7 linked regions of the Mus musculus genome follow. The protein of the gene in region 4 binds, or shares a complex with, the protein of the main gene of each other region. Links are inferred from orthologs where the notes say so. Each region holds a gene or a part of one and is shown on either strand. Other genes may lie near its edges. The genes, in order: F2rl2, Fgg, Serpina5, F2, Serpinc1, Fga and Thbd. A codon is read from its position in the direction of its gene.

Region 1 (4,210 bases), on a different chromosome or scaffold from region 4:
ACCCGTCTCCTCGCCACCACATGTTGGTAATTAAACTGCTTTACCACTGAGCCACACTGCCCCCTCCCCCTTGTGCACAGAATTTGCAAAGGGATGGCTACCAGGGTAGATAGAATAACATTTCACTCGACCCAAGGTTCCATGTGCCGGCTCCTAGAACCCATGATGTGTTATCCCATGGGGAAAGGGGTTATTTAGTTAGGAATCAGGAGATGGGAGCAGAATCCTAGATTGGCCATGTGGTCAAAATGGAATGACTGGATGTGGCATTCCCAAAAGCCAAGAGCAATTGTGAAGTGTGACTTTCTTAGTCTTCACAGTGGCTGTAGTTTAACTTGGGGAGTAGAGAGAGGGCCGATAGAGAAATATGGGAAGAAGCCAAACAAGATGGGCTTAAGGGAAATGCCAGGTTTAAGACAACGAGAAAAGAAACAAAAGATGAACTCACTGTGATAACCTGAGGCATTAAAATGATTTTGTTTTGTTGGTTTTTTAAGATAGGGTTTCTCTGTGTAATTTCCCTAGCTGTACTAGAGCTCATCCTATAGAACAGGATGGCCTTGAACTCATAGAGATCCGCCTGCTTCTGCCTCCCTAGTGCTAGGATTGAAGGCATGCACCACCACCACCACCCAGCAAAATGAATTTTTTAAATGAAAGAAACATATCAGCTATGTGTTTTAGATGCTTGGCACAGCTCAGCCAGTTCCCGTTAATCAATTCTTCAAATGCCAATAGAAGCCTTTTACATTCCCATTCGAAAAGCTAGTGCCCTCCCACTGAGGTCTGGACACAAAACTCCTGCATCCCCCATTTTAACTCTTCCAGGGTGATGTTCAGTAGACTGACCCATGTTCTCTTTCTGATTTTTATCTCTGGCCCTTGCTCTCCCAGACTTGGGAGTTTGCATAGGCTGAATTCAATGTAGCGGGCAGAATCGGTGTTGTCCGAACAACTGGTAAGTGAAGGTGACGCTGTGTCCTCCAGGGAAAGACTACTTTGGAAGGTAGCATTCCATGTGCCTGAGTTTAGATGCGAGCATTATTGGAATGTCCTGTTACGTCTGAGCTCAGCCACTTAAATCCTTCTGCACGTGCACATTTGGGTAAAGCCAAGTCTGATATCACTCAAAACAACACCTGTAAAGGAAGCTGGCAGAACCATGTATACAAATTTCTTCCCTCCAAGGTCTGATGAGAAAGCTGATGAAACCAAGCACTAGTCAGCTTTCAGGAGAGTCCTGTGCTTGGGCAAGATACGTGTCTACAAACACACAGAAAGGAGACTGCTCCCCGAATATTTCAGATCGGGCACCCCCTAGATCTTCTATTCGTTAGAAACTGTCTTTCCTTCAGAATCGTGCTCCTTGTTCAATGTTATTTATAAAACGACACGCAACTGACTAGGATTTTTTTTTTTGGTTTCCATTTGGTGCAGTGTTTCTGAAATGCTCCCCGCCTGGGAGAAGGCTTCAGAGAGTCTAATCCAAAGAGAATGGCCCTCAGCCACACACACCCCACCTCACATCTCTCCAAGGCAGACTTCGAACCCACTGTCCCACCTCTCCTTAAGTCTCACTTCTCAGTCTCCCAAGCAGGCTAGCATCAGGAAGGAACTCCCTCTCATAACTCATTTCCTTGCAACCATGGCTCAGCTTTGTGGCTTCTCCTCTCAGAGAAACCATAAACCTAGCCAACCCGTGCTTGTACCGCCCCTGCCATGGGTCCCCTTAAGCAGGGAACTCAATTTAAGGATCGTTCCTTTTGCAGACGGCTGCCTTTTGTTTAAGTTGGTTTCTTCCCAGTTCCTCCTCCTAATTGATTGCCCTGTGGCCTGACAGAGTCCTGCATACAATCCTGTCTCAAAGTAGTTCATTTCAGAACAATGAGGAAGTTATATAAGCTACCACAATAGAAGACATGTTCAAAGTGAAATAATTATATTTGGGAAAGCTTATTTCTAAAATTATACATAACCAAATTATGCCTAAACATCGTATACAGACATATCCGTATAGACATATATACACACAGACATATATACATATATATGTGAGGGACAGAGAGAACTCCTTGGTTCTGAAACATTAAGAAAAGACGGTATTTCACCTTGGAAACACGTCACATCCCTGATTAATGTCACTGGCTGCTGAAACCAAATTACTTTTCCTGGCAGTATTTTTTTTCCCACCGGTGCCTCAACAGAAATTATAATATTTAGAAATTTGAAAAGATTTTTTTAATGCCTTGAAAAAGTGCAATCTTTTCTACATCTGAACATTGTACACATACAAACACTTCTCACGCCAAAAAAAAAGTGGTTTTTGACTTAATCATAAAGTCTTGACTCTGTCACAAATGTAGAGACACTACTAGTAGAGAAGAACGCTTGGTCTTTGACAAGGTTTGACTTGGGAACAAGCTTGAATATTTCCACGCTATATTACCCCAGGCTAAAACCAGATCAAATTGTGTCTTTGGGTTCACAGTTTCTAGGAGTTAACAAGAAAATTAGGGCATTTGACTCTGACAGCAGAAACCATCCACTCACCACTCTCTCACCCCCATGCTAGACCACAAGAAGGGGACTTACCACTTTGGCAAACAGTGACTGGCAGAAACAGCAGCCCAGCTGCAACCAAGATAAGGATTTTCATCTTGATGTCCTGAGACCCGGTTACAGGATGTTGTTAAGTATACAAAGTCACAGCGTAGATTCCCCTCAGCTCCATGTATGAGCAGCAAGTGGAAAGCTGAGAACTCTGCCAGCCTGGACTGTGTGGGCAGGGACTCGTCCTTGCCTCTACAGAGAAAGGATGTGGCCACTTGATGTTTCTGTCTGTGTGCATGACTCAGGCTGAGCCTCTCTGGAGGAGTTGCCATATCCCTTTTATCTCTTCCTCACCCCCTCCATTATTTCATTTAGAACCAGTGCTGTAGTTCTCCCAGGGGCTTGGAATAATGGCAGAGACTGCAGAGTCCCTTGCAAAACAAAGCTGAGAACAGGTGCTGGGAAGCAATTAGCTTTGAATCAATTCCACTGCCCCGGTTCTATTCCCTATGCCAAAACCCTAGCTCCAGAGTTACGCCTTCTATTTAACACAAGAACAGTCAGACATTACACTCCTGTGTAACAGTCAGACATTCACTCCGCCATGGTCAGAACGGCCTCTTCTTACCGTAAATGGGAACAAACACAGAGTTCCATGGTGTGTAGAGCGTGAGAGGCTTTGGAGCGCACAGGCCTACATGCAATGTCTTCATCAAGCCCCTCCCCTCAAGGCTCAGGGATCTATGCGGAAGAGAAGGCAAAAAGATTGTTAAGAGCCAAAAGGGATCGATAGCTCCATGGAAACAGTGTCTTCCGGATAAATCAGGACTGGTGCACATATGAACTCACAGAGAAGGCAGCATGCACAAGGCCTGCACAGGTTCAAGCCAAGGAGGGTCCCAGAGCTGAGAGGGGAAGGGGACTGGGGCTCCCACCACTAACCCAGAAAGTTCTGCAGTTGATACCCACTGGCAAAGGAAAGAGTGGTTTCCTCCAATGGAATCTCCTGGATGCCCTAGGCACATGTCAAGGTAGGCCCTACACCCAGGAGTGGTTGGCTAACACAAAGAAAATTCAGTGGGATTTTTGCAGACTTTTCATCTCCTACTGCTTTGTTTGTTTGTTTGTTTGTTTGTTTGTTTGTTTTTTCTTTTTTTTCTGCCTTAATGGTCTTTTTGTTTGTATATTTGGGTTTCCATTTTGTTATGCTTTTGTGGGCTTTGGTGTATGCATTTCTTGTTTCTGTTTTTATTATTTGTTTAAATATAGACAGAAAGGGTATGGCGTTAGGGAGGTAGGAAGGATCTGGAAGTTGAGGAGAGGGAAAAGCGATCAAAATATAACATGAAATTTCTTTTTCAAAAATCAAAATGAAATTGTGCTTTATTTCAAATTTTAGTTCCTAAACTGATCACATAGTTATAAACTGAATTAATCATGAGAAGCGAATACACCCTCCCTCCTCCATCTTTTATTTTGTTATTTTGTTCTTTGAGACAGAGTTTCATATAGTCTGGCTTGCCTTGAACTCAGGATGCAGTTGAGCTCCTGGGCCACCTCCTGCTGCCTCTGGGCTGCTGGGATCTGTGGAGCTGGACACTAAACCCAGGGCTTCTAGGACTCTATCAACAGAGTTACATCCTCAGGCCTGGCAAATATT
Region 2 (2,417 bases), on a different chromosome or scaffold from region 4:
GTCTTTTATTTTATCACTCTTCATTTGAAATCAGAATTGGATACCACTCATTATCCAACTGGCATTATCTTTAATAATAGTAAGCTTTTTGCCTACGGTGGTTACCTCCATAGGTCCCCCAACTCCTAGGAAGCATCAGGGTTTTGATATTGCACTGAAATTCTTATTATCTCAGCTGGAATTTGGGGCCATGGTGTCTCTTTTGGACCTACCATGTATATAATGTAGATGAACTAGCACACCATGCCTGTGCTTGTGGATGGATACATTACCCTGGCTCAGCTGTCTGTGAACTGTATGTCAGACACAGCAGTGGGCAGTGGATAGATGTCAGAAGAAATGACGTGAGAGGCACAAATTTAGTAATAAGAGTGAAAAGTCACGGAAGCCTGGGTGAAGGGTCTAGACCGGGGATTGCAGGTGCTTGTTTTAGCATGGCGGGGGTGATGGTTTCTGTAAGGCTGAAGGAGTTTAGAACACTGATTCCACTCATCACCTAGCAGTTCTGTATGGAGAGACTCCAGGGATACTAAAGGATCTTTTAAGAAGTTCTGGAATGTGATCCCCATCTATTGATGAGAAACTTCATGGTGAATGACTTTCTAGAGAAACTCCCTAAAGCCCTTGATAGCATTTTCCGTTAGCCAAACAATTATGTTGTCATGCGCTGTCAGACAAACTGATCAGGAATCTGTGGCTCCTATCACAAATTCATATACTCTAAGGGAGGTGGGCAGAGAGAGAGAGAGACAGAGAGAGACAGAGATGACAGACAGAGACAGACAGAGAGGTGTTCTAGCCCTGACAAAAAAATGGATAAATTTTAAGTATTGACATGATCACCAAAATTGCTTATTGGCTTTTGGAATCAATCTCTAGGGATGTTGTCAATTAGGAGGAAGTGCTGTAGACTTCACGGTAATTCGAATTGAACTTTAACCAGCTAAGGAAATGTAAAGGAAAAAACGACCCATGCATGTGCCTCTGGCTCCTTGCAGGTGGTACTTACTCAAAATCATCTACTACTAATGGTTTCGACGACGGCATTATTTGGGCGACCTGGAAAAGCCGCTGGTATTCTATGAAGGAAACCACCATGAAGATAATTCCCTTCAACAGACTCTCCATCGGAGAAGGACAGCAGCATCACATGGGGGGATCCAAACAGGTCAGCGTGGATCATGAAGTTGAAATTGAATACTGATCAATCATCTGCCTGGAAGTTTTTAAAATAGATATAAAAAATTAACTATTAACTCCTATTGGCCTGTACAGAGTTCCAATGATTTCCTCAATTTTTCTTTACTCTATTTATTAATTTTTGTCTTTCTTAACATGATACCTAGCCTTAAATGGAAATTAAAATCTATTTGAACCGTATTTCTAAATTACTTGAGTCAAAGTTATTAAGTATTGTTTATTCGAAGAGACAGTTTGTTTGACCTTTCCTCTAAACATTAAAAGTAAAACTACTGTTCTTTGTTTACTTTATAATCAGCTGTAATTATTGTTTTGTTTTATTATTTCTTGAGTATTTTTAGTATATACTAATAAAATAGGAGAAAATTATAGAACTTGACCTGTATATTTTTCTCATGTTATTTTATCTCGACATCATTAATATTTAATTCTTTTTTACGAAATAAAACAAGTTATATTTTTTAATATATCTTTTGTTTTATTATATATTCATAGGCTGGAGACGTTTAAAGAACATTTCAAAGCTGGTTTGCTTTTTTAAAGGACTTTATCCAAGCAGAGAACTATACTATTTTTCCTATGGGACAATGGACTTTCAGGACCTCACTTCATTTTCAGAGTTAATGGGATCCATGGTGCAAACTCCATTAGCAGTTTTATGCTGGCGATAATTTATCTACGTGCATTGCAATAAACATTTCGTTTCCTAAGATGAGACATTCCGTGGCTTTTTTGAAAACCCTTGGAAAAGCATTGCTTTCCCTCAATTACTGTTAGTTGCCGAGTTCACATGTTATGGCTACATAGTATCCAAGCCCAGGGGAGCTGGAGGGAAAGAAAAGACATGGCTCTTACCGTCCATGGTTCTTACCCTCCAAGGGGTATGAAACACTCAGAATGCAGCAGCTCAGGATGATGGATGCAACAAACTAATGTTCGCTATAAGAACATAAACACAAGTCACAGAGCCCCAAGCATATACCCAAGGCACATCATAGACTAAATACACACTGCTAGAGTAAGCTATTGGGAGATTCTTTGAGAGGAACCTTCAGCTCCAAGCTCCTGTAGCCAGTATATCACACAGAGCTGTTATTTAGAGCAGGGAACTGAGAGACAATCTGTTCGTCTCACGGGTGAGCCAGGAGGTGAGCAGAAGGAACCAATTACTTGTTCTAGGTGGGAGTTATTGAGATCTCGGGGCCTTGACTCAGCTA
Region 3 (4,148 bases), on a different chromosome or scaffold from region 4:
TCTGAAATCAGGTGCTCAGGAGCTTCTAGACTCACCTCAGACAACTTGATATTGGTATGGTCAGTAATGCCAGACAAGTCAGCATGGGTGGTGAAGACGTCCTGGATGCCCAGCTTGGGGAGGACATTTTCCAGTTTGTAGGTAGCCTCAATGGAGAACTTGGGGAGGTAAAGATCTAAGCGTCTGGAGAGAGTACAGAAGGTCATTCTTAGACACCATGAGCTTGCTGCTGCCACTCTCTGCTGCAGCGTCACTGACTTTCTGGAACCTTCCTCTTTGGAGTCTCCCTTGCTTTGTACTTTACTTGAGCTTCCCTCTCTGGTGTCACCCTAGAACCTCAGCTATCCCTCAAGCTGGGTCATGTCCTGGACTGAAGACTTGATGGGTAACATTTAAGTTTGGAGCTAGCTCACTGCCTGAGGAGTCCTTTCCAGTAGTACTGTGAGGTCTTCCTGACATGGGTAGAAGGATGTGGCCCCCAGATGGCCTAGAGAGTACCTTTTGGTGAACATCTTAAGCCAGTTCCTCAATGTTCTCTCATCCAGGCCATCCTCCACCTGCTTCATCTTGCCCTCGCTGGGGAGAATAAATAGAGCGATGGCATTGCCTTGATAAGGGATCCCCACCACCGTGCAGGAGATGTTTTGGTCCAGGTAGTAGGAATACCCATCTTCACGGTTCATCATGGGCACCTGTGTGGTCCTTTTGGGGGTCACATGGAAATCCATCTTGTGGGTGTTTGTCTCACTGAAGGCCGTCTGCCACTTGGCTAAAGATGAAGGAGAAGGAATTAAAGAGAACTGAGTAAAAATGGGAGACCCTTGGCTGTGGCTGTAGAAAGGAGACAATCCAAAGAGTGTCTCTACAGAGCAACCTCAACAACAGCAGCACCCACACCCCTTGGCCCCAGAGGCCAAATCCCCTCAAAGTTCTGGGTAGCCTGAACCTTTTATGGGCCTGTCCTCCTTTCCTCCTGGTTTGAATGAGAATGGCCCCCACAGGCTCATATGTTTGGATGCTTGGTCCCTGGTTGGTTGAGTTGTTGTGGGAAGGATTAGGAGGTGAGGCACTTATTGGTACGACATTGAGAAGGCTTGGAGGTTTCAAACACTCTCACCAGTTTCCTGCCTCTCTGCTGAGTGTTTGTGGATCAGATGTAAGCTCTCAGTTATTGCTCCAGCAGCACACCTGTCTGCCTGCTACCGTGCTTCCTACTGAGATGGTCATAGACTCTGAAACTATAAGCCAATCCTAATAACGTGATTATTTTTTCTTCAATAATATGTCCTGGCCATGGTGTCTTGGCAGGGCAACAGACATTTGCTTTCAGTAGCCTCTGACCCCTCCTGTTTCCTGCCTTCTTAGCCCTGATCAGATCCATATCCTGTTTCTAGTGGGTTTGACAGTCAGGGTTGTTTTGTCATGATGTCTATGACAAAGACCAGCTCCTGACTGTGGAATCACTGACAGGCTGATAAGCAGGTTCTGTCTCCCATGAGGCAGCTTTCCTTCTACCCAGCTGGCACTTGGGTGGCTTGTTCTTTTATCAGGGAGGGAATGCTATCTTTTAATAAAAACAGAAAAGAGGAAAAAGTTCAAGTTGGAGCCCAAGGCTTACCTTTGAAGAAGATGTAATTTACCACTATCATGACATGGGTGCTGTCAAGATCCTTGATAAAGTCTACAATCTTGCCCTTGGTCTGCTTGGCTACATAGTTGTTGATCTGCTTCTTGGCGATTTCAGGGTTCCCAAAGTTGGTAGAGAAAGTGTCTGACATGTACAGTGTCTTCATGGCACTCAGGAAGTCGTCCCGGATATGTACTGCTGGGTCTTTAAAAAGGGCACTGCCCAGGCTCAGCTGCAGGCCATCACTAGGCTGCCTGAATCTCTGTAGCAGCTGTTGGAAGCCCTTGTGGAGCTTGTCTTCTTGGCCTTGCTGGAGGCTGAGGCCTAGGCCATCTAGGATCTGGGTCTTCGTCTTCAAGCCAGCCCCCAGGGAGAGCATGCCCAAACTCATAGACACGCTCAAGGGGGAGAAGAAGACATTCTGACCAGGGGATTCAGAAACCAAGGCCCTGTAGAGTCTGAAAGCAAAGTCTTTGCTACTGGGAGGTCCCACAGCACCCACCGAGGACTCTTTAGCCTTCTTCTTCTTGGAATGGGAGTGTCGGCGGGAAGCCACCCCATGGCTGATGAACAGCACCAGGCACAGAATGGGGAAGAACCTCATTGTGGTGACAGCTCTGGAGGGGAGAAGAGAAAAATGTTCTTGGAGAGGGAACAGTTGTGAGTCAAAGTGAGAGACACAATGAGTAGGCTGACATCTGCAAAGATGTCCCCATGTCCCCTCCAAGAGGGTAAGAAGGAAACTAGACCATGAGGCTGTAAAGAGAAGCAGTGGTACTCAGTGCTCTGGGACGATCAGATGAAGCAGGCAACTAACTGCTCAAGGTAGACTTACAGACCGGTATGCAATGGAGTTAAAACAAAATCAAAATCAAAAACAAAAAACAAAACATTTTTTCCTCATAATATTTTAAGTAAGTTTAGGATTTTGCATTATGCCTCATTCGCAGGGTTCCTTGGCTTCAGCTATGTTACACCCACACACATCCATAATGCCACAGGTCCTACCCCAGCAGGTGTACTCACTCTGTATCGTGGTGGCTGAGTGTCAAGGTATAGTCCACCTGGCTTACAAGAGGACAGAGAGCAGAGCAGAGGAATTGCAGCCGGCAAATGTCACTGACCGCAGAGACTCTGTCTCCACCCCACTCCAGCTCTGCTTCATTGGGAGCTGGGTTGATCTAAGATTTTCGTAGGGTCCCCGATAAAAGGACAGAATAAATGTACTTCTGTTTCTTTGTCTAAGAATGTGCTTGGCAATGCCAGCCAGAGCCCGAGGCTGGAGCCTTGAACTTGTTAAGGTTTCTATTCCTGGGACTTAGCTTTTTCCCCTGAAGAGACTGGTGTCATCAATTCCAAGGCTGCCGTGTGCTCAGTCTGGAATGTTCTTGAGATATCATGTTTTCCTTGCGCAACATTGTTTGATTAGCTTCCCTCTGGCTTTGTCCCATTGTGTGGCAGTTTCTGCTGACTCTGTCTCATCTCTTACCTGGACTTGGTATATAAGATACTGTACTTTTAAAAGAAGCTTGCTTGGTATAAGATCCAGCATGTGAAAGCTGGACTTCCTGATCCCTAACTGTATCTTCTCTAGCTTATGGCCTCCTGATCCCACCTCCCCCCTCGGCATTGTTACAAAAAAAAAATGACTGTATGGTCCAAGTCAAGTAGTGACTAAACAGGGACGCCTGAATATGAGAAAAAGAGTAAATATGGCCATAACACATAGAGAAATTTAAAAATTAAAAAGTATCCCCAGAGAGACCACCTGAAGAAAGGGGTAGAAACTTCAAGAGTGAAACAAAAGATAGTAAAGTTGTCTTCTTAACATAATATTGCTATTGGTTATTTGGGAATTTGACAATGTATCCCATTACCCTTACTTCCCAGCCCCCCAGGCCCGCTCCCCACCTCTTGTGCACCACTGCCCCCAAAGATAGAAAAAACAAGTCCAGTTTGTGTTGTCCATATACTCGCCAGAACATGGTCAAACTCCTGCTGGCCAGCTCCTTAAAGATGAGTGAGTCTGTCCACCTCCACAACCACCAGGAACCAGCTATCATGGAGAGCTAAACTTCAGCATCCTTACCCTAACAAACAGCCTGCTTGGTTTTGCTAGATTTCTCCCCAGTACAGGATAGGTATAGGGGTTGTGGGGTGAGGGCCTATGTGGTGTGTGTGTGTGTGTGTGTGTGTGTGTGTGTGTGTGTGTGTGTGCATGTTGAGGACACAGTCAAAACTCACAACAGTGGCTGCACAGATTTCAGAACCCAGGTTCAGACTACAAAGAGCCCAGTCTCCTAGGCACAACAGTCCATCATTGACCCGCCTTTGCCTGAGAGATAACTGCTCTGAAAACTCTTTCCCAACCAGTTTTACATTAAAAAACAAAAAGGAGGTTTATCTACATGACTATTAAAAGGTCTCATGATATTAAAAAAAATAGAAAACGTTATAAAAATAAAGTTATTTTACATGTTATTTAAAAAGTAAAAATAGCATAAAAAATAGCATAAGTTAT
Region 4 (3,500 bases):
AAAGGTTCAGTATGGGTGTGCGGGGCACCTGTAACCAGGAGGCTGAGGTGACACTGTTAACATTCCAAGACCAGCCTGTACTGTACATTGGTAGAGTGCTTGCCTAGCGTGCATGAAGCCATTCGGATCCCCAGTACCTCACAAACTGCATAAACTGGGCATGATGGCACGTGCCTGTAATCCCAGCCCTGGATGAGGATTGATTGGGAAAGGCAGAAGCATCATAAGTTCAAGGTTATCAGCTACAAGCCGGGCAGTGGTGGCGCACGCCTTTAATCCCAGCACTTGGGAGGCAGAGACAGGCGGATTTCTGAGTTCAAGGCCAGCCAGGGCTACACAGAGAAACCCTGCCTCGAAAAAACCAAAAAGGCTATCAACGACATAGTAGATTCAAGCCTAGGTTACACGAGACCATGTCTTTAAAAAAAAATCCACACAATACAGGGAAAGAGGGAGGGAGGGAGGGAGGAAGAAAGGGAGGGAGGGAAGTAGGAAGGAAGGATTGGCATCTTGAGTAGCATAAGCCCAAAGGAAAGATAAACACTAGAGCAAGATGCACACTCTCCTAAATACATAACTTTTAAAAACAAACATAACACAGGGAAAATAAGATGACAAATGAAACAATAATTACAAAATAATGAGTTACTAAAAATAAACTCCATACAATCACAGTCTTCATCACAATTAATTATTAACATACTAAACTACAAAGGGACCCTGAAATCCAAAATCTTAAGACTTAGTTGGGATTGAGATATAGTTTAGTGTTAGAGCAGTTGCCTAGTTCAAGGCCCTCTATTTAATCTGCAACACCACAGTAATAATAAAGTTGGGATTTGGGCTGGTGAGATGGCTCAGTGGTTAAGAGCACTGACTGTTCTTCCAAAGGTCCTTGAGTTCTGACTGCCCTGTAGCTTAAGAGAGTCCCCCTTGCCTCTGCCTTCGGAGAGATCTACGGTAACCCAGATGAGCCTCTAGTTCCACATGATGCTCCTGCCTCCACTCCCTGTGTGCTGATGTTACAGATGTTACCACTACACCTGGCCCTCTTCTCTCACCTCATTCCCCGTGGGATCACTGAGTTTACTGCTCTTCAAGCCCACAGGCCTCCCTGCTGTTCCTCAGGTCAACCAAGTGTTTGCCCACCTCAGCATCCCTGCACCTACATCTGTTCCCAAAGCCGGGTTTCGACCCTCCCTCTGTGTCTGATTCCTCATCCTCTTCCTCCCATCTCTGCCTAACCTGCTTGAGAAAAGGCCGATGCCAGCCCCTCTGACCACTGGCTTTAGTTGACTCGTCCCTTACAGTCTCCCTCACTCTGCTCTCTCCTCAGAGCTGTTATCAAGGACATGCATTCTAGATATGTTTATTGGCATAGCCCCCCTCTAGGAAGGCAGCTTTCTCAGGACCACCTATTTGAGTTCCTGCTGAGTACCCCTCCAAGTGCTGTCTAGGACACAATAGGCATTCAAGAAATGTATGCTAAGTGGCTAAATGAATGTTCTTTCTGTACCCAGGACTTCTGCTGGGCTAGATTCGTTGAGCAGATATTAATGATCACTGGCAAAACTCTCTCTCTCTCTCTCTCTCACTTGCTCTCTCACTTGCTCTCTCTCTCTCTCTCTCTCTCTCTCTCTCTCTCTCTCTCTCTCTCTCTCTCACACACACACACACACACACACACACACACACACCTCAGATCTCAACACCATGAAAACTTTTATGTTCTTTTTACCTTCAGAAAAGCTTCAGCCACTTACCTGGGGTCTTCTGACTTGTAAGTGCCCGGGCTTGTGCCTGTACCACATGCCTGCTAACCCCCATCCCAGCTGTTTCCCTAGCCCAAGACAGAAAGCCTTACCAGCACAGAACATGTTGTCAGTAATTCGAATCCGGGTGGAGGCCTTGCACACTGGCCGCTCTACAATGGGCAGGTTCACCACCTGCAGGACGCTGGGCTGTATCTCATTGATGTTGGTTGTCCATGTCTCCCGAAGGTTGCCCCAGCCTGTCACCCGCCCTTTATAACCAGCCCGGAGCAAGCTTTAGGGAGAGAGAAGGACCTGATGAGAATTGTCCCTGACAGCCTTCTAGAAAATGACTTTTGCATTTATACCATGGAACTGAACCCTGCAAATGATTGTCAGGCCCCAAGGTTCAGAGCCCAGGCCAAATCACAACTGAGACCCTAGTGCTGACCTGGTTACTGTCTGCTTGTCTGGCAAACACACGGGGTGAATATAGTCACTGAAGGGTACAGGTTTCTTTAGCTTGAGCAGAGCGATATCGCGGTCTAGGTTCTCCCGCCAGTTATATCTGGGGTGGACGTAGATCTTTTCCAGCATGGAGATCTTTTCAACATTCCGCTCATATCTGTGCAGACCCCAACAGAGAAGAACCACTCATGAGATCCTCAGCTAACTGAGCACGGTCACACACAGTCTTCTGAGTCATGTGGGCCCACAGAGATAGGCACATGCTACATGTACTGCTCCAATAGTCACAATTTAAAGAGACTTCCACCTGGACCATGTTCTCCTGTCTGGAGTGGGCCAGGGCCTGGCCATACGGGCTTGCCCAGTGAGGATGCTGAAAGCTCATACTTGTGGGTCCCATGTACCCCAGAGCCTCCAGAGCCCCCGATGAGCACTCAGAACCCAGCCAATCACCAGCAGGCATTTGCTTCATACCTGGTTCGGGAATGCTTGCCAATGCGCACCAGGAGGTCATTCTCAGTGAAGTTCTTGTCCCAGGGTGGGTACAGAATGCAGTGGGCAGCAGTGAGGACCCATCGGTCACTGATAAGGCTGGCCCCACACAGCAGCTCTTGGGGACTCTTCCGAAAAAGCATCACCTGCCTAACGGGAAGCAGAGTGCATTAGGAGCTGGAGCCCAGCCCCTAACAGCCTTGGAAATGGGAAAGGCTCTTAGATGAAGAGTACTGGGCTAGGATGGTGTCGCAAGCCTGTAATCCTTGCACTTGGGATGTGGAAGCAGGAGCATCAGAAGTTCGAAGTAAGCCTCTGCTATATAAGACCTCCCCTCGCCCCAAAAGTAAAGATGAAAGAAAGAAAGAAAGAAAGAAAGAAAGAAAGAAAGAAAGAAAGAAAGGAAGGAAGGAAGGAAGGAAGAAAGGAAGGAAGGAAGGAAGAAAAGGAAGAAAGACAGATAGTGGGACAGGGTTGCCTCCAGGGCTCAAATCTCGGATTGATTTGGCTGCCGTAGAAGACCAGAGCTCTATCAGGGTAGACCGTATAGTTTAGCACAGCTCTAGATCAGAATTGGATACAGTCCTGACTATGCAGCGTGCCTGAGGATGAGTCACGTAAGCTCGCTTGGCCTCATCTCTGACAATTACTCGGCAGACATGGCAAAGCTGGCTGAGGTAGCTCTGGGGGAAATTAGAGAGTGGGTGCTAGCGTCATCTGTGGAGCCAGGTCCTGCAGCGGCCGTGGGTGGGGCAGGCCTGTAGATCAGTCCAGGACGCACCAGGGGGC
Region 5 (3,500 bases), on a different chromosome or scaffold from region 4:
GTACTCCAGTCTCTCGTCTTCAAGTGGAAAAGTCCATTCTCGTGAGGTGGCAGTCGTATTTATTTTTACTTCTATTCACAAACACCAAAGTAGGAAAAGGTGCAAAGATTAAGAATATTTTAGTTCACACAAGGATTAGCCACTCTCCCCATGAATATAATAGTGTTCAGTGCAACTTCCCTTATAAGAACCAGGAAGGGCCTGTTGGCCTTGAAGGTCACCCTATTGGGGTTCAGTGACCGGCCAGTAATCACGACAGAAGTACTCGCTGCTGCTTCACTGCCTTCCTCATTTACCTGCAGGTCACATAGGAAACAAATATTAGCTACCCTCCAGTCCACCCTAGGCACATAAATCACACCCAGACCCAGCGCTCACACTGCTGGTTTCTAGTAACTAACACCTGGACGCAAATGGTTCCCTCCAGAAACCTACTGTTCTTAACCTCCAGTGTGTACAATGCACTGGGCTCATCCAAAGCCTTGCAAGAATGCCACAAGTGTAATCCCTGAGCTAGAAGTCACATTCTGGTAGCATGGTTAAACATTGTCGAATGCAACAGTGCATTGTTTTAAACCAACTGCGAAGAGAAAACTCAGACTCAAACTTGGAGATCTGCACTTTAAATAGATTCACTCTCAAAGCATAAAGAAATCCCAGCTATCACTACCACCCCCCAAAAGCCACCAAGAACCTGTGGCTTATGAAAAGATAGTTCTCCAGTTAAGTGAGGTGGGTTTTTTGGAGTAATAACCAAAAAAAAAAAAAAAAAAAAAAAAAAAACTCAGCATTTGAACAATGGCACATCTGAAGGGATGCCTTCAGAAAATGACAACTGTTGACATACTGACCTGTCGGGGGTAGGATCTTGCTGTGCATTCTAGTACCGAGGCTAGCTTGCCATTTAAGATCCTGATTCCCGTGTGTGTGTGTGTGTGTGTGTGTGTGTGTGTACATGTGTACACCTTGCTAGCCTTTAATGTTCTGTATAGACCAGGCTGGCCTCTGTGTGTGTGTGTGTACACCTTGCTAGCCTTTAATGTTCTATATAGACAAGGCTGGCCTGGAACTTGTGGAAATTCTCCTGCCTTGGCCTCCTGTCCCTGACTATTAATAAAGTACTTGCAATCTCTGTGTTTTGAGGGGCTGGTTAATGTGGGTTTTTTTTTTTTTTTCCTTCCCTTTGGTGTCCCACATCTATTTCATGCTCATTCTGGGACTAAATTTAAGTGATGTGAAGTTGCAATTCAGCAAGTTCTCACCTCCTGTCCCTCACCTTCTGCTTCCTTAAGTTGCCACTAAGCTTGCTTGGATCCTAGAATTAGTTCTCTGGCACCATACTCTGGATATTTCTCTCTAATTGCAGCCTTTCTTTGCAAACCCAAGTCCTGTTAGCTTTGTCTATCGTTGGCCCTTCTGCTCACAGTCTTAGCTTCCACGAAGAACAGCCTACACCACTGGACCTCGAACCTACTTATAAAAATCTCCCAAGGATCTGTGTTAAGAAACAGATTCTCAACAAGTTTCAAGATGGCCAGGGCTACAGGAAGAAAACTTTTCTCAAAACACAAATCAACAAAAAGAAAAAAAATTCGCCGGGCAGCGGTGGTGCACGCTTTTAATCCCAGCACTCAGGAGGCAGAGGCAGGCAGATTTCTGAATTTGAGGCCAGCCTGGTCTACAAAGTGAGTTCCAGGACAGCCAGGGCTCTACAGAGAAACCCTGTCTCGAAAAAAACCAAAAAGAAAAAAGAAAAAAATTCCTAGATTCCATCCTTCAGCCTCCAGGGTTAAGGATCCCCACCTTTACGGTCCACACTTCAGTACCTAAGAACGAGAATTTCTACAACCTGTCACTACTTGGCTAACATACAATTCTATGTGCACCTTAGTTGGGGGAAGACAGGCTCATCAGTGCTCTACCCATTTCCTCCCTGGGACTTCTCAGTCTCAGCATACCACTGTGTGTAGTTAATCTCCCAAGAAGATCAACATGTGCCCACCTAACTGAGTTTCCTGAAATGCTATATATCAAGATTGTTCTAGAACGCCCTTGACGCTAAGGTGAGCCATACTCATTAGCAACCCCCTGTCTTATGTTCATTTGTTCTTCACCTTCTTCACTTACGCACGTGTCCCTCCCCATTCTGTCCAGAATCGGTTTCAGTCTTACTCCATGCTTTTCACATTCCTGAAACATCTCAGAATTCCCTCTCCATGGCCTTTGCCGGCTCCTTTGGCTCCTTTTCCTTGGGCTACCCTCTATGTCTCTCTAGCAGGAGAGAAGGCCAAACAGTCAAAGCTTGAGGGCTCCTTTGAAGTGCCATCCTGAGGCAGACCTCATGGCGGAGGCTACAAGCTTCTCCATATGTACATGATTTAGAGGGACCCTGCCGAGATGCCTCTGCCACAATCCTCTGCTGCTAATAGACCAGCTGTCTCCACCAGAAGAGCAGCAAGAAACTCCAGGAACACAGATTGATAAAATGCAAAAAAAAAAAAGGCAGCGGGTGGAGGGAACTGAACTCACCTCAAGAAATGCTTTGTGGAATGCGTCGGAGACATAGAGGTCGTCCCTGCCTCCAGCAACGATCCCTGGAAGAACAAGAAGGGGGGGCTGTGTCTTGAGAAGCAGGCTGCTGAGCCTCCCTAATAATACCCCTCACCCCCTCAATGGATACCTCTTAAAAACTGATTCATTTTGGCTTCTTTGACCTGGATCTTGTGAACTTAATCTGATGTCAACTTTTTTGAGAAGGTGGAAGGGTGGGACTCTCCTCTCAAAAACTTTACTATATCTAGCAAAAATATGTCTTTCCAGTATGGTAACGTTTTTAAGAGGTTTGGCTCTCAAAGCTAAAGATAGCCCAATAAAGAAAAATCTAATTACCTAAGTCTAAGTAATTTTTAGATAGGATCTTTGTGTAGCCTGAGCTGGCCTTAAACTGTCATCCTGCCCCAGCCTGGAGGGCTGAGATTACAATTGTGTGCCACTGAACCCAGCTCTGCGGGCCAATGAGATTGCTCATCGGGTAAGGGAATGTGCCACTAACCCTGACAACTTGAGTTAAATTAACTATTTATTTACTTACTTATTTTGTTTTTTTTCTTTTCTTTTTTTTTGTTTTTTGTTTGTTTGTTTGTTTTGTTTTTTGAGACAGGGTTTCTCTATATAGCTCTGGCTGTCCTGGAACCCACTTTGTAGACCAGGCTGACCTCGAACTCAGAAATCTGCCTGCCTCTGCCTCCCGAGTGCTGGGATTAAAGGCGTGTGCCACCACGCCTGGCTTATTTTGTTTTTTTTAAGACTGGGTTTCTCTGTGTAGCCTTGACTATCCAGAAACTTACTCTCTAAATCAAGCTGACCTTATGCCGGGCGTGGTGGTGCATACCTATAATCCCAGCGCTTGTGAGGCAGAGGCAGGCAGATTTCTGAGTTTGAGGCCAGTCTGGTCTACAGAGTGAGTTCTAGGACAGCCAGGGCTACACAGAGAAACCCTG
Region 6 (4,171 bases), on a different chromosome or scaffold from region 4:
AACAGGCCATAGGTGAATTCTCAAATGAAGGTCTGCTTAGTCTTGCATGATGCTCTGGGAATTGTGTAGTCCCACTACTCAGGCATCCCATATGTTTATCCCACCAGAGACCCGATGTAACTAGACAATGTCCTTCGATTGGTTTCCTTTCCATTTTTTCTAGCTATGTTACTGTTAGATGATCTCTGGTGGGGAGGTGTCTCTAGGACCCATTGAATATATATATGTAGAGAGAGAGAGAGAGGGAGAGAGAGAGAGAACAGCATAAGGAAGGTTCCTTGTTCACCGTGTGCTCGCCTTACCCAGTCATCATCAGAGCAGAAGGGCCAGTCTGAGTCCTTGCATTGACTCTGATGTCTCTCCACAACTCTTGGGCCACGTACTCCTCCTCCTTCTGATAGGAATTCACCTTTATCTTCGGTATCTGTAGTCTTTAAGGGTTTTCAAAACATTCAAAAATGAGCGGAGGCAACAATGTTAGCCAGAAGAGACTTTGTCATGCTCACTAGCCCCAAGGGAGAAATGGCAGACATTAGGAGCCAGTACTGCTGGCTTCCACAGGCTGCCAGTTTCTTACAGTCAAAAGGAAATTCTACTTATTTCACGGAGTCATTATGAGAAGCAAAGGAGACAAAGGGTGTGAATTTGTAAGACTGTATTTGATGCTAGGTTAGCATCTGCTAGATGGTAAGGGTTTTAAAAGAAAAATGATCTGGATTGAAAGCATCTGTGAAATTTCACCTTTATCCTTTCTTTCGTGACCTCAGATGAGAAGATAGCTGAAACATTCTAGGTTTTTTTTTTTTTCCCTCCCTGAAGTCCTCTTTCTGAATGTAAAAACCTATGCCCTGTTGCACCCATGCTCCTTTCTCCTTCAGGTTTCTATGGTAACCCTTGGAGATGGTCCATGATCCAGACAAACAGTTATCAAGTACACAAATGTGGGAAGTGAAAACTTGGCAATGTTTTGTAGTACAATCATGCAATTGTAGATTTTCATTTGAAATGAAAATAATAAACAGTTGAAGCAGTAGTCAGCAACCAGCAATTTTTGGAACACCTTATAATTAGAAACCTAGAGCTAAAAGTTCTCAGCTATAACCCAAATGAAATACAAAACATTTTGTCCCATAAGACTTCCTAGTCTAACGGGTCGAGATGGCTTCGAGGCGTTCATCGCCTCCGCTCTGCACTGCCAACTTACAAGGGACTTCCTGTCACTATGTTAGTTTGGGGTAGTTTTTCCTTATAATTAATCAACATGGTCTCATTCTCATTTGTGAAAATTCAAATAATCCTAATTACCATAATTAAAGCAGCGAAGAACAACTCATTTAAAAGAACGAGTCCTTTTGTATAAGAAATATAATGGTAAATTCAATTGTATGAGTAAAATAGCACAACAATGAAGCAGACAGAAAGTGCACATAATAATGAGACAAGGAAGACAATAGAAGTACAAATTACCCAGAAATATCGCCTCAGCTGGTTATTTTAGTTTAATTCCCTCCAAAATGTATTGTTCTTTACTCTCTGATATCAAGATTTTTGAATGGTGAGCCAAAAAACCCACCACCACCACCACCACCACCACCACCACCACCACCACAAAAAACACCTGAAATAATATACAGCCTGGGTAACTAATTAGGATGTCACTAGGTCCTTGGTCATAGTTGACATGTTTTATAAACTAGAATGTGTCAGAAACTCCAGTAATTTAGATTTCTTTCTTTTGTTTTTCTTTGGGGCTTAATTTGGGGAATGATGTCAGTATTTAGAAGTTATCTGAAAAGAACACGAATCCTTCCAAAGAGCCCACTGCCTCATAACTAATGTCTTCGGAATTTGCTATACGTTTTCAAAGGCAATTAATTTGCCCTCTTCCTTTTATGTCTTCAAAAGGATATGAAAAGTTCCTCTTAGGGCTGCGGGTGTAGAACGCTTGCTTGGTCAGTACAGAGAAAGCTCTGCTTCATTCCTCAACATGACAACATTACAAAACTAAAATATTACAAATAAAACAAAGACTAGAGGTAAACCATACTAAACCCCAAACCTTCTGCTCATTACAGACAAATGTCTGGAATTACCAGCTGGAGAACAGTTCTTACCCAGTGTTTTGTTCTGTTAGAATGATGTCTCTGGAGTTTAAAGGGACAAACATGTGGAGGGATTCAGGAGGCTGGCAGTGTAGCTTAGTTGTAGAGAGCTTTACTGCCATGCCCAGGGGTTCTCAACCTGTGGGTCACGACTCCTTTGGCAAACCTCTATTTCCAAAAATATTTACGTTATGATTCATAAAAGTAATAAAATTAAGGTTAGGGAGTAGTAACTAAAAACAATTTTCTAGTTGCGGGTCATCACAACATGAGGAACTGCATCTAAGGGTTGCAGCATGAGGAATTCTATGCTGGATCAATCCCCAGCAACCGTGAGAGTATACTAACACACAGCTGCAGTTTTAAAGACTGCATCTGAATCAGCCTGAACGACAGATGTCAAGATCTCTCGTTATCCTAGGGCCTCCCTCTGGACATCACATTTCCCCATACACTTGTCAGGCTCATCTAAGAATTTGCCTCCCTGGCCTGGCATTTAAAAAGCTAAGTACAAAGGACTTGTAGACTCTGAACTCAGGGCTCCTTGCGGAAGAATTAACAGAGAGAAGAGAAAGCACATACCCAGACTGTGCTGGCCACGCTCAAGATGAGGCAGGTGACCCTCAGGGACAGCATGGTGTCTGCGTTTAGGGATGGCTCATGAGGAGAACTGGAGCTGAAGCGAAGGAGGACTGACTGCACTCACAGCTCCAACCCTACTTAAACCGGCAGGAGGTTAATCATCACCCTTGGCCCACTCAAGCAGCCAAAGCTCACAGTGTGTCCTGTGCTCTGACCATAATAACCAAGGTATCCCAGAAACTCTTGCTCAATTCTCTGTAGCTTGTTTGTTTCCGATAAGTTGTTGCAAATGGTAGCATTTGATTGTGCAGTCAGCAGTTGGGGGGTGGGGGGAATCTACATTCCAGGAAATGGGGGCCTTGGAAGCTGGGGAGATGAACACAGTTCACACCTGAAGGAAGTAAGAGAGCAGCCAGGGCACTCTGGCTATCACTTCTGTGGAGCAGAGACATTGGACTGTGTGTGGGATTCAGAGTTCATCTGAATTTCAGAATGACCTGAAAGCCTACAATAAGCTTATGTTAAACGGGTTGTTTTCCTCCAGCCAGAGGTCAAGACAGTAGCTGCTGGCGACCAATGCCAGCATCCACAGTCCTAGCTCCAGCTTCCTGGCTCTGAGCACTTATGAAGGTTAACTGTCCATCCTTGGGAATCAGTCTCCTCTCTTAAAGACCAGGGCAAAGGCAACATCCTACACATGTTAGTAAACAAATGGGTGAATTATTTCAAGGCCTCCCGAGGAGTGGTTGTCACCACGGCCTGGGAGGAAGTGCTGGCCATGATTGGAGAAGTACATGGAAAATGTACTGTACTTCCTGCCTTTGGGCTTGATCTCTCTTCATCTGCTCTTCATTTCCATGTACAATTCTTCTGGACTCAGTGAAACTTCTGTGTGACCCAACCACGCACCCACTAATATTCCCCCCCCCCCCAAAAAGCAACAGCTGGATTTTGAACAGAATATTCATTGTTCACAATTCCACACTATGGAAGCAGCCTCAGACAATGGATGAATGGATAAAGAAAAGGGGTGGATACAAGAGATTATTGTTCAGCCTGTGAAAAGAAGAAATTCACACATTTGGGGAAATGTACGGGAGCCTTGAGGATATCACACTAAGCGAACGATGTGACTTCACTTCCGTGTGAAACCTTTAATGTGCAACTCAAGAGACTGGGACACAGTAGTGGTTTCCTGGAGACGAGAAATGAGGGAAACAGAAAGGAAGAAAAAAGAGGAAAAGGGAAAGATAATCAAAGAAGGTGATGCATATACTAATGAGCTCAAAGGGGTGGTTATTTCACATCAAACATACAGCACTTTTACATATCAGTCACGGTTCAATAAAATGATTAAAAAAAACCCTTTGACTTAAGTGTGCTGTATTTAGTAATAAACACTGAGAATGAGCAGCCAAATCTGAATCTCAGACAGACAACCAATATATCTTAGTGTATGCATGTCTTCTGCCGTGTTTGGAGTATGC
Region 7 (3,965 bases), about 57 Mb from region 4:
ATAACACTGTAGAGCCTGCATAAAAATCTTAACAATAATGACCTCTTTTGTCATTCCCATTCAAAACAACAGCAACAATCATAAAACCCAGGCTCACCCTTTCAAAAACAAAGATTTCAAAAAAAAAAAAAACCCTACTTCCTTAAGTTTATTTTCTGTGACATTCCAGCACTATTGACTAGTTAGTGTTCAGCTGAAATATTTTAGCTTTTGTTAAAATTCTTTTGCTTTGGTTACCTGAAATTTCTGACTAAATACCCAAAGCCAGTGAAAAAGAACGTTTTCTGCTTTTAGTGTTTCTTTTCTGTTTCACATAAGAGTTTGGAAACAACGGTAAGGGCAAAGTTATGATCAGGTTTGGGGAGGAGAATGACAGGAGGGGGGGAATGGAGGGACTGAGAAAGCTGTGGGGGGCTGGAGACTTACAAGCAGAAGAAAACTGGAGGGAAGAAAATACTAAATACTTTAAAAAAAATAAATATCTGGGTCATCTCCAGCCCATGGGGTCAAGGTTTGCCTTCAAGCCTACAGATCAGCAGCACTAGGAGGTGAGGTGAGGGACTGGGGTACTCTGGGATCTCCGCTGTATTTGCCACCTCCGCCCAGTTGTCCAGTATCTACTTGGAAGAAACTGGGCTGTCCTGCTTCAAGTCCTCCCTACCCTCGCTTGTCCTGAGAGGATGGGCTCTTCTCTGGTTATTATACCAGCCAGGGTGCTTTTAAGTTGCCAGAGAACACAGCTGGGAGGCTGGAGAGAGAGAGAGGAGAGGAGAGGTACAGAGCCCGGAAAGACAAAGGCCACCTGGGTCTCTGGAGCAAATCCCTCAGAACTTCTGCAGCGTCCGATCAGTCCTGACGTGCTGCAGCACTACCTCCTTGGCGGAAGATGCGCACTTGTACTCCAGCTCTGCACGAGCAGCGCCCTGCTTCTTGCGCAGGTGACAGAGAAGCGCCAAAAGCGCCACCACCAGGGACAGGCTGGCAATGGAGATGCCAATGAGCACGCCAGAGTGCACTGGCCTTGCAGAAGGGGGACCTGTCGGAGAGCCTGGCGTAGGGCTGACTGGAGGCTCCCCAGAGCCCTCCTCTTCCTTGGTGTCTTCCCTAACAGGGATGGGGTCACAGTCTTTGCTAATCTGACCAGCAAGGGCTGTGTCAGGCCCGCAGATACACTCATAGGAGCCAGGGAAGTTTCGACATTCACTGGTGAAGCATTCGCCTTGACTGCACTCATCAATGTCCGTGCATACGGAACCCTCGTCCAGGATGAAGCCTTCAGGGCATTCACAAACAGTAGGAGAGTTAGGGTCACAGTCTGCTGGGCACGAAGTTTCATTGCAGAACATTTCGCACTTGTGCGGTTCATCCGGCTTGGGTGCGAAGCCTGGAGCGCAGATGCATCGGTAGTCGGTGGGGCTCACTGGCTGGCACTGAAACTCGCAGTTAGATCCGAAACACGGATCCAGAAGCTCCACGCACTCTCCATCCACCAACTCATAGCCATCATAGCAGAAGCATTCGAAGCCGCCCTTGGTGTTAACACAGAGCTGGGGACATGGATTGGGCCCCTGCTTACAGTCATCCACGTCCTCACACCGGTGTCCGTCTGCAGCCAACTGGTAGCCTGTCTCACACATACAGGAGTAAGAGCCTGGCACTTCAGCGTTGCTGACACAAAAATGCTCGCAGAGTTCGTTGCACGATTGAACCACAGGTCTTGCACACGAACGTCCATCGGCCTGCAGGTCCATGTCTCTGGGGCAGAGGCATCTGGGTTCATTCGTGCTCCTATTGCACAAGTACTCACAGCCACCATTCTCCACGCTGCAATTCCAGGCTCCTGTCGCTTCCCAAGCCCAGTGTCCCTCTGAAGTTCCGGGCGGGGCCCTGCACACCAGCTCCAAGCCAAGGGGCTCCACCGCGGCGGAACTGCCTACCGGCAGCGTTTGAAAGTCCGCACCACTGACCCCGAACGGGGTGTTGTAGGTACTAGAGATGTGGGCAGCCTCAGGATCGCGAGTATTCACCGTCAGAGGCCTGCAGGAAGCTGTGAAGTAAAACTCACAGAGGAAACCCTGGGTCTCAGTCTCGCATGGCTTCTCTTCCCAGGCCGGCTCGCCGGGTGCAGCTTCAGTTGCTGTCGAGACCGTGACGCACAGAGGGCCGCAGAGTGGAGCCGTCTGGTCGTTGGGCCGCGCCCACCTGCTGTAACTGGTGTGGTTATCGCCAGTAACCCACTGGAAGCCGCGCAGGGGCCCGAGATGCACCGGGTCGTCACAGCCCTGCGGGAGCTGTAAACCGATCCAGGGCCCTAAATCCATACTGCTCTGGCTCAGCAGAAGGGAGATGACATCGGCAGCCACTGAGGAGCGCACTGTCATCAAATGTCCTTGCAGGCGCTGGCAGGCCTGGCTGGCATCGAGGAAGGTCGCGGGGCCCTGGAAAAGCGCGAAGCACTCATGCTCCACGCATTGACTGCCTGTGGGCTGCAGCTTGGCTAGTGCGGAGAGCCCCAGGCTAGCTGGAGCCAGCACACCCAGAAAGAAAATCCCAAGCATGCTGTCCAGGGGTGCACCGTGCAAGTTCCGAGAAAAGCTAGCCCTGCGCTGGTGCAGACACCCAGTCCAGGCAGAGGGGTTTCCGTATGCCTGCGGCGACAGCAGCTAGCCTCTATCACAACCTAGACGTTTCTAGCCCAGGCTCCTAGTCCCTGCGAGGCAGCCTCTAACATGCCACTCCGCTGAAGCTCCAGTTTATAAATGCGCGGCCCTCCCTCTTTGCACGTTCGGGAAAAGGAAGGAAGTGCCTGGTGGGAAGGGCTGATGCTGCGTTCTCGGATTACTGGGTTCTCCGGACGCCTTGCGCCCGCCCTCCAGCCTGGGATCACCTCTGCGCGATGAGTTAAAAAGTCTGTCTGGGCGTTGGGAGGCCCTCGGGCGTGGCCTGCAGGCGCCACCACAGAACAGAACTGTGTCAGCAAGACGACAGTTCCTGCCCCAGACTCTCCGGTATAGCCCGCGGGTAGCCTGTGTTTAAACCTCTACACACGTACACACACTCAGACGCGAACACACACACACTCACACTCACACTTCCACATAGATGCTACCAAAGTTTGGAAGATGGTCCGGTTGGTGGGGCAGGGAAAAGAAAAGTCCAGTAGAGGTGTGTCTGAGACTTGCAAGACTCTGAAAAAGGTGAGCTAAATGCAAGGCAGGAACTCAGGAAGCCTGGCTGCATTGACAATCGGAGGTTTAGGTCCCAAATGACCTTGGAGGAGGCCAGGGGAAACAATACTAGGGCAGCAAGAGGAGAGAGTGGTCTAATAACCCCAAACCCTTCTCCAGTCTCCATTCCTCTCCTGTTCTGAGCAGGCATCTCCAAGGCCAGACCCTATCTAGTTGCTTGAGAACATCGTGCAAGTTTTGTCTGGGCTCAGAGATCATGGCCCCCTTTCCCAGTTCAATTCCTGCAGAATCCTCTGGGGAAGGTGTGTTGCGTTCCTTTGTTCTGGTTTGTTTTGTTTTCCTCCAAGCCTATCTCAGACCCCTCAATGAAACTGGCCCCGGGGTGGGGAGGGGGGGAGGGGGCTTTGCAAGGAGACTGTATGAGCTACAATAGAGCCTACTTGGTTCCTTTTGACGTGATCATTTCCATCGTCATTTGAGAGTCTCAAAAGATAGAGGTGCCTACACAATCCGTTTGCTCACAAAGGGCATTGAAGAGGAGTGTCTTGTGGGCAGCTGGGAGGGGAGGAAGGGAATCTGTCACTTAAGACTTTTAGATGCTAAGCACTCACCAAGAATGTGGAGGGCTGTGTTCAAATCAAAGCTTAGCCACCTCCTCCCCACCTCTCTCATCTGCCTATTCCCCAAGCGTGCGCGTCATCACACACACACACACACACACACACACACACACACACACACACCAAGAGGACCCTGCACTCCGTGGCAGTCACTTCC

Evidence for each region.
Region 1: the proteins of F2 (region 4) and F2rl2 are in contact, whole or in part, in a crystal structure (PDB 2PUX), measured with the Mus musculus proteins. Residues at the interface, in NP_034298.1 of Mus musculus: Phe379 (codon at 2,848), Gln384 (codon at 2,833), Glu385 (codon at 2,830), Leu386 (codon at 2,827), Leu420 (codon at 2,725), Arg422 (codon at 2,719), Arg428 (codon at 2,701), Thr429 (codon at 2,698), Arg430 (codon at 2,695), Tyr431 (codon at 2,375), Arg433 (codon at 2,369), Lys437 (codon at 2,357), Ile438 (codon at 2,354), Ser439 (codon at 2,351), Met440 (codon at 2,348), Lys467 (codon at 2,267), Pro470 (codon at 2,258); in NP_034300.3 of Mus musculus: Thr46, Phe47, Glu48, Glu49, Phe50, Pro51, Asp54, Ile55, Glu56.
Region 2: the proteins of F2 (region 4) and Fgg are in contact, whole or in part, in a crystal structure (PDB 2HWL), measured with the Homo sapiens proteins. The link is inferred for Mus musculus from reciprocal best matches to the Homo sapiens genes F2 and FGG. Residues at the interface, in NP_000497.1 of Homo sapiens: His450, Pro451, Arg452, Arg461, Arg486, Ala489, Ala490, Leu493, Ile530, Val531, Glu532, Arg533, Cys536, Asp546, Asn547, Met548, Phe549, Cys550, His605, Phe607, Arg608, Leu609, Lys610, Lys611, Trp612, Lys615; in NP_068656.2 of Homo sapiens: Pro439, Ala440, Glu441, Thr442, Glu443, Tyr444, Asp445, Ser446, Leu447, Tyr448.
Region 3: the proteins of F2 (region 4) and Serpina5 are in contact, whole or in part, in a crystal structure (PDB 3B9F), measured with the Homo sapiens proteins. The link is inferred for Mus musculus from reciprocal best matches to the Homo sapiens genes F2 and SERPINA5. Residues at the interface, in NP_000497.1 of Homo sapiens: Arg383, Pro386, Glu388, Leu389, Leu390, Cys391, His406, Cys407, Tyr410, Pro412, Trp413, Asp414, Lys415, Trp455, Glu457, Asn458, Leu459, Asn506, Arg541, Ile542, Asp562, Ala563, Cys564, Glu565, Gly566, Asp567, Val588, Ser589, Trp590, Gly591; in NP_000615.3 of Homo sapiens: Gln241, Lys295, Lys296, Arg297, Thr368, Ile369, Phe370, Thr371, Phe372, Arg373, Ser374, Ala375, Arg376, Leu377, Asn378.
Region 5: the proteins of F2 (region 4) and Serpinc1 are in contact, whole or in part, in a crystal structure (PDB 1TB6), measured with the Homo sapiens proteins. The link is inferred for Mus musculus from reciprocal best matches to the Homo sapiens genes F2 and SERPINC1. Residues at the interface, in NP_000497.1 of Homo sapiens: Leu389, Leu390, Cys391, His406, Cys407, Tyr410, Pro412, Trp413, Asp414, Lys415, Trp455, Arg456, Glu457, Asn458, Leu459, Asn506, Thr510, Trp511, Thr512, Ala513, Asn514, Val515, Gln519, Arg541, Ile542, Asp562, Ala563, Cys564, Glu565, Gly566; in NP_000479.1 of Homo sapiens: Lys258, Glu264, Asn265, Arg267, Tyr285, Glu287, Gly288, Lys289, Glu345, Met347, His351, Ala419, Val420, Val421, Ile422, Ala423, Gly424, Arg425, Ser426, Leu427, Asn428, Pro429, Asn430, Arg431, Val432, Lys435.
Region 6: the proteins of F2 (region 4) and Fga are in contact, whole or in part, in a crystal structure (PDB 2A45), measured with the Homo sapiens proteins. The link is inferred for Mus musculus from reciprocal best matches to the Homo sapiens genes F2 and FGA. Residues at the interface, in NP_000497.1 of Homo sapiens: Phe382, Lys384, Ser385, Gln387, Leu423, Arg425, Tyr434, Glu439, Lys440, Ile441, Ser442, Met443, Lys470; in NP_000499.1 of Homo sapiens: Trp52, Pro53, Phe54, Cys55, Ser56, Asp57, Glu58.
Region 7: the proteins of F2 (region 4) and Thbd are in contact, whole or in part, in a crystal structure (PDB 1DX5), measured with the Homo sapiens proteins. The link is inferred for Mus musculus from reciprocal best matches to the Homo sapiens genes F2 and THBD. Residues at the interface, in NP_000497.1 of Homo sapiens: Phe382, Ser385, Pro386, Gln387, Leu423, Arg425, Thr432, Arg433, Tyr434, Arg436, Asn437, Glu439, Lys440, Ile441, Met443, Lys470; in NP_000352.1 of Homo sapiens: Ser424, Cys425, Glu426, Cys427, Tyr431, Ile432, Leu433, Asp434, Asp435, Thr440, Asp441, Ile442, Asp443, Glu446, Asn447, Gly449, Phe450, Asp479.

The regions. Positions count from the first base shown.
Region 1 is NC_000079.6:95,695,510-95,699,719, reverse strand, and holds the start of F2rl2 (proteinase-activated receptor 3 precursor), read right to left. Parts: upstream 2,801-4,210; 5' UTR 2,657-2,800; coding exon 2,593-2,656; intron 1-2,592. UniProt on the Homo sapiens protein: Receptor for activated thrombin coupled to G proteins that stimulate phosphoinositide hydrolysis.
Region 2 is NC_000069.6:83,013,140-83,015,556, forward strand, and holds the end of Fgg (fibrinogen gamma chain isoform 1 precursor), read left to right. Parts: intron 1-998; coding exon 999-1,168; coding exon of another isoform or gene 1,169-1,204; exon of another isoform or gene 1,205-1,578; intron 1,579-1,695; coding exon 1,696-1,710; 3' UTR 1,711-1,917; downstream 1,918-2,417. UniProt on the Homo sapiens protein: Together with fibrinogen alpha (FGA) and fibrinogen beta (FGB), polymerizes to form an insoluble fibrin matrix. Has a major function in hemostasis as one of the primary components of blood clots.
Region 3 is NC_000078.6:104,099,765-104,103,912, reverse strand, and holds the start of Serpina5 (plasma serine protease inhibitor precursor), read right to left. Parts: upstream 2,801-4,148; 5' UTR 2,654-2,800; intron 2,245-2,653; 5' UTR 2,232-2,244; coding exon 1,619-2,231; intron 770-1,618; coding exon 499-769; intron 184-498; coding exon 36-183; intron 1-35. UniProt on the Homo sapiens protein: Heparin-dependent serine protease inhibitor acting in body fluids and secretions. Inactivates serine proteases by binding irreversibly to their serine activation site. Involved in the regulation of intravascular and extravascular proteolytic activities.
Region 4 is NC_000068.7:91,626,458-91,629,957, forward strand, and holds part of F2 (prothrombin preproprotein), read right to left. Parts: coding exon 3,493-3,500; intron 2,862-3,492; coding exon 2,694-2,861; intron 2,377-2,693; coding exon 2,203-2,376; intron 2,047-2,202; coding exon 1,865-2,046; intron 1-1,864. UniProt on the Homo sapiens protein: Thrombin, which cleaves bonds after Arg and Lys, converts fibrinogen to fibrin and activates factors V, VII, VIII, XIII, and, in complex with thrombomodulin, protein C. Functions in blood homeostasis, inflammation and wound healing.
Region 5 is NC_000067.6:160,999,083-161,002,582, reverse strand, and holds the end of Serpinc1 (antithrombin-III isoform 1 precursor), read right to left. Parts: intron 2,595-3,500; coding exon 2,530-2,594; intron 297-2,529; coding exon 120-296; 3' UTR 43-119; downstream 1-42. UniProt on the Homo sapiens protein: Most important serine protease inhibitor in plasma that regulates the blood coagulation cascade. AT-III inhibits thrombin, matriptase-3/TMPRSS7, as well as factors IXa, Xa and XIa. Its inhibitory activity is greatly enhanced in the presence of heparin.
Region 6 is NC_000069.6:83,024,782-83,028,952, reverse strand, and holds the start of Fga (fibrinogen alpha chain isoform 1 preproprotein), read right to left. Parts: upstream 2,801-4,171; 5' UTR 2,739-2,800; coding exon 2,685-2,738; intron 432-2,684; coding exon 303-431; intron 1-302. UniProt on the Homo sapiens protein: Cleaved by the protease thrombin to yield monomers which, together with fibrinogen beta (FGB) and fibrinogen gamma (FGG), polymerize to form an insoluble fibrin matrix. Fibrin has a major function in hemostasis as one of the primary components of blood clots.
Region 7 is NC_000068.7:148,405,389-148,409,353, forward strand, and holds the start of Thbd (thrombomodulin precursor), read right to left. Parts: upstream 2,801-3,965; 5' UTR 2,559-2,800; coding exon 825-2,558; 3' UTR 1-824. UniProt on the Homo sapiens protein: Endothelial cell receptor that plays a critical role in regulating several physiological processes including hemostasis, coagulation, fibrinolysis, inflammation, and angiogenesis.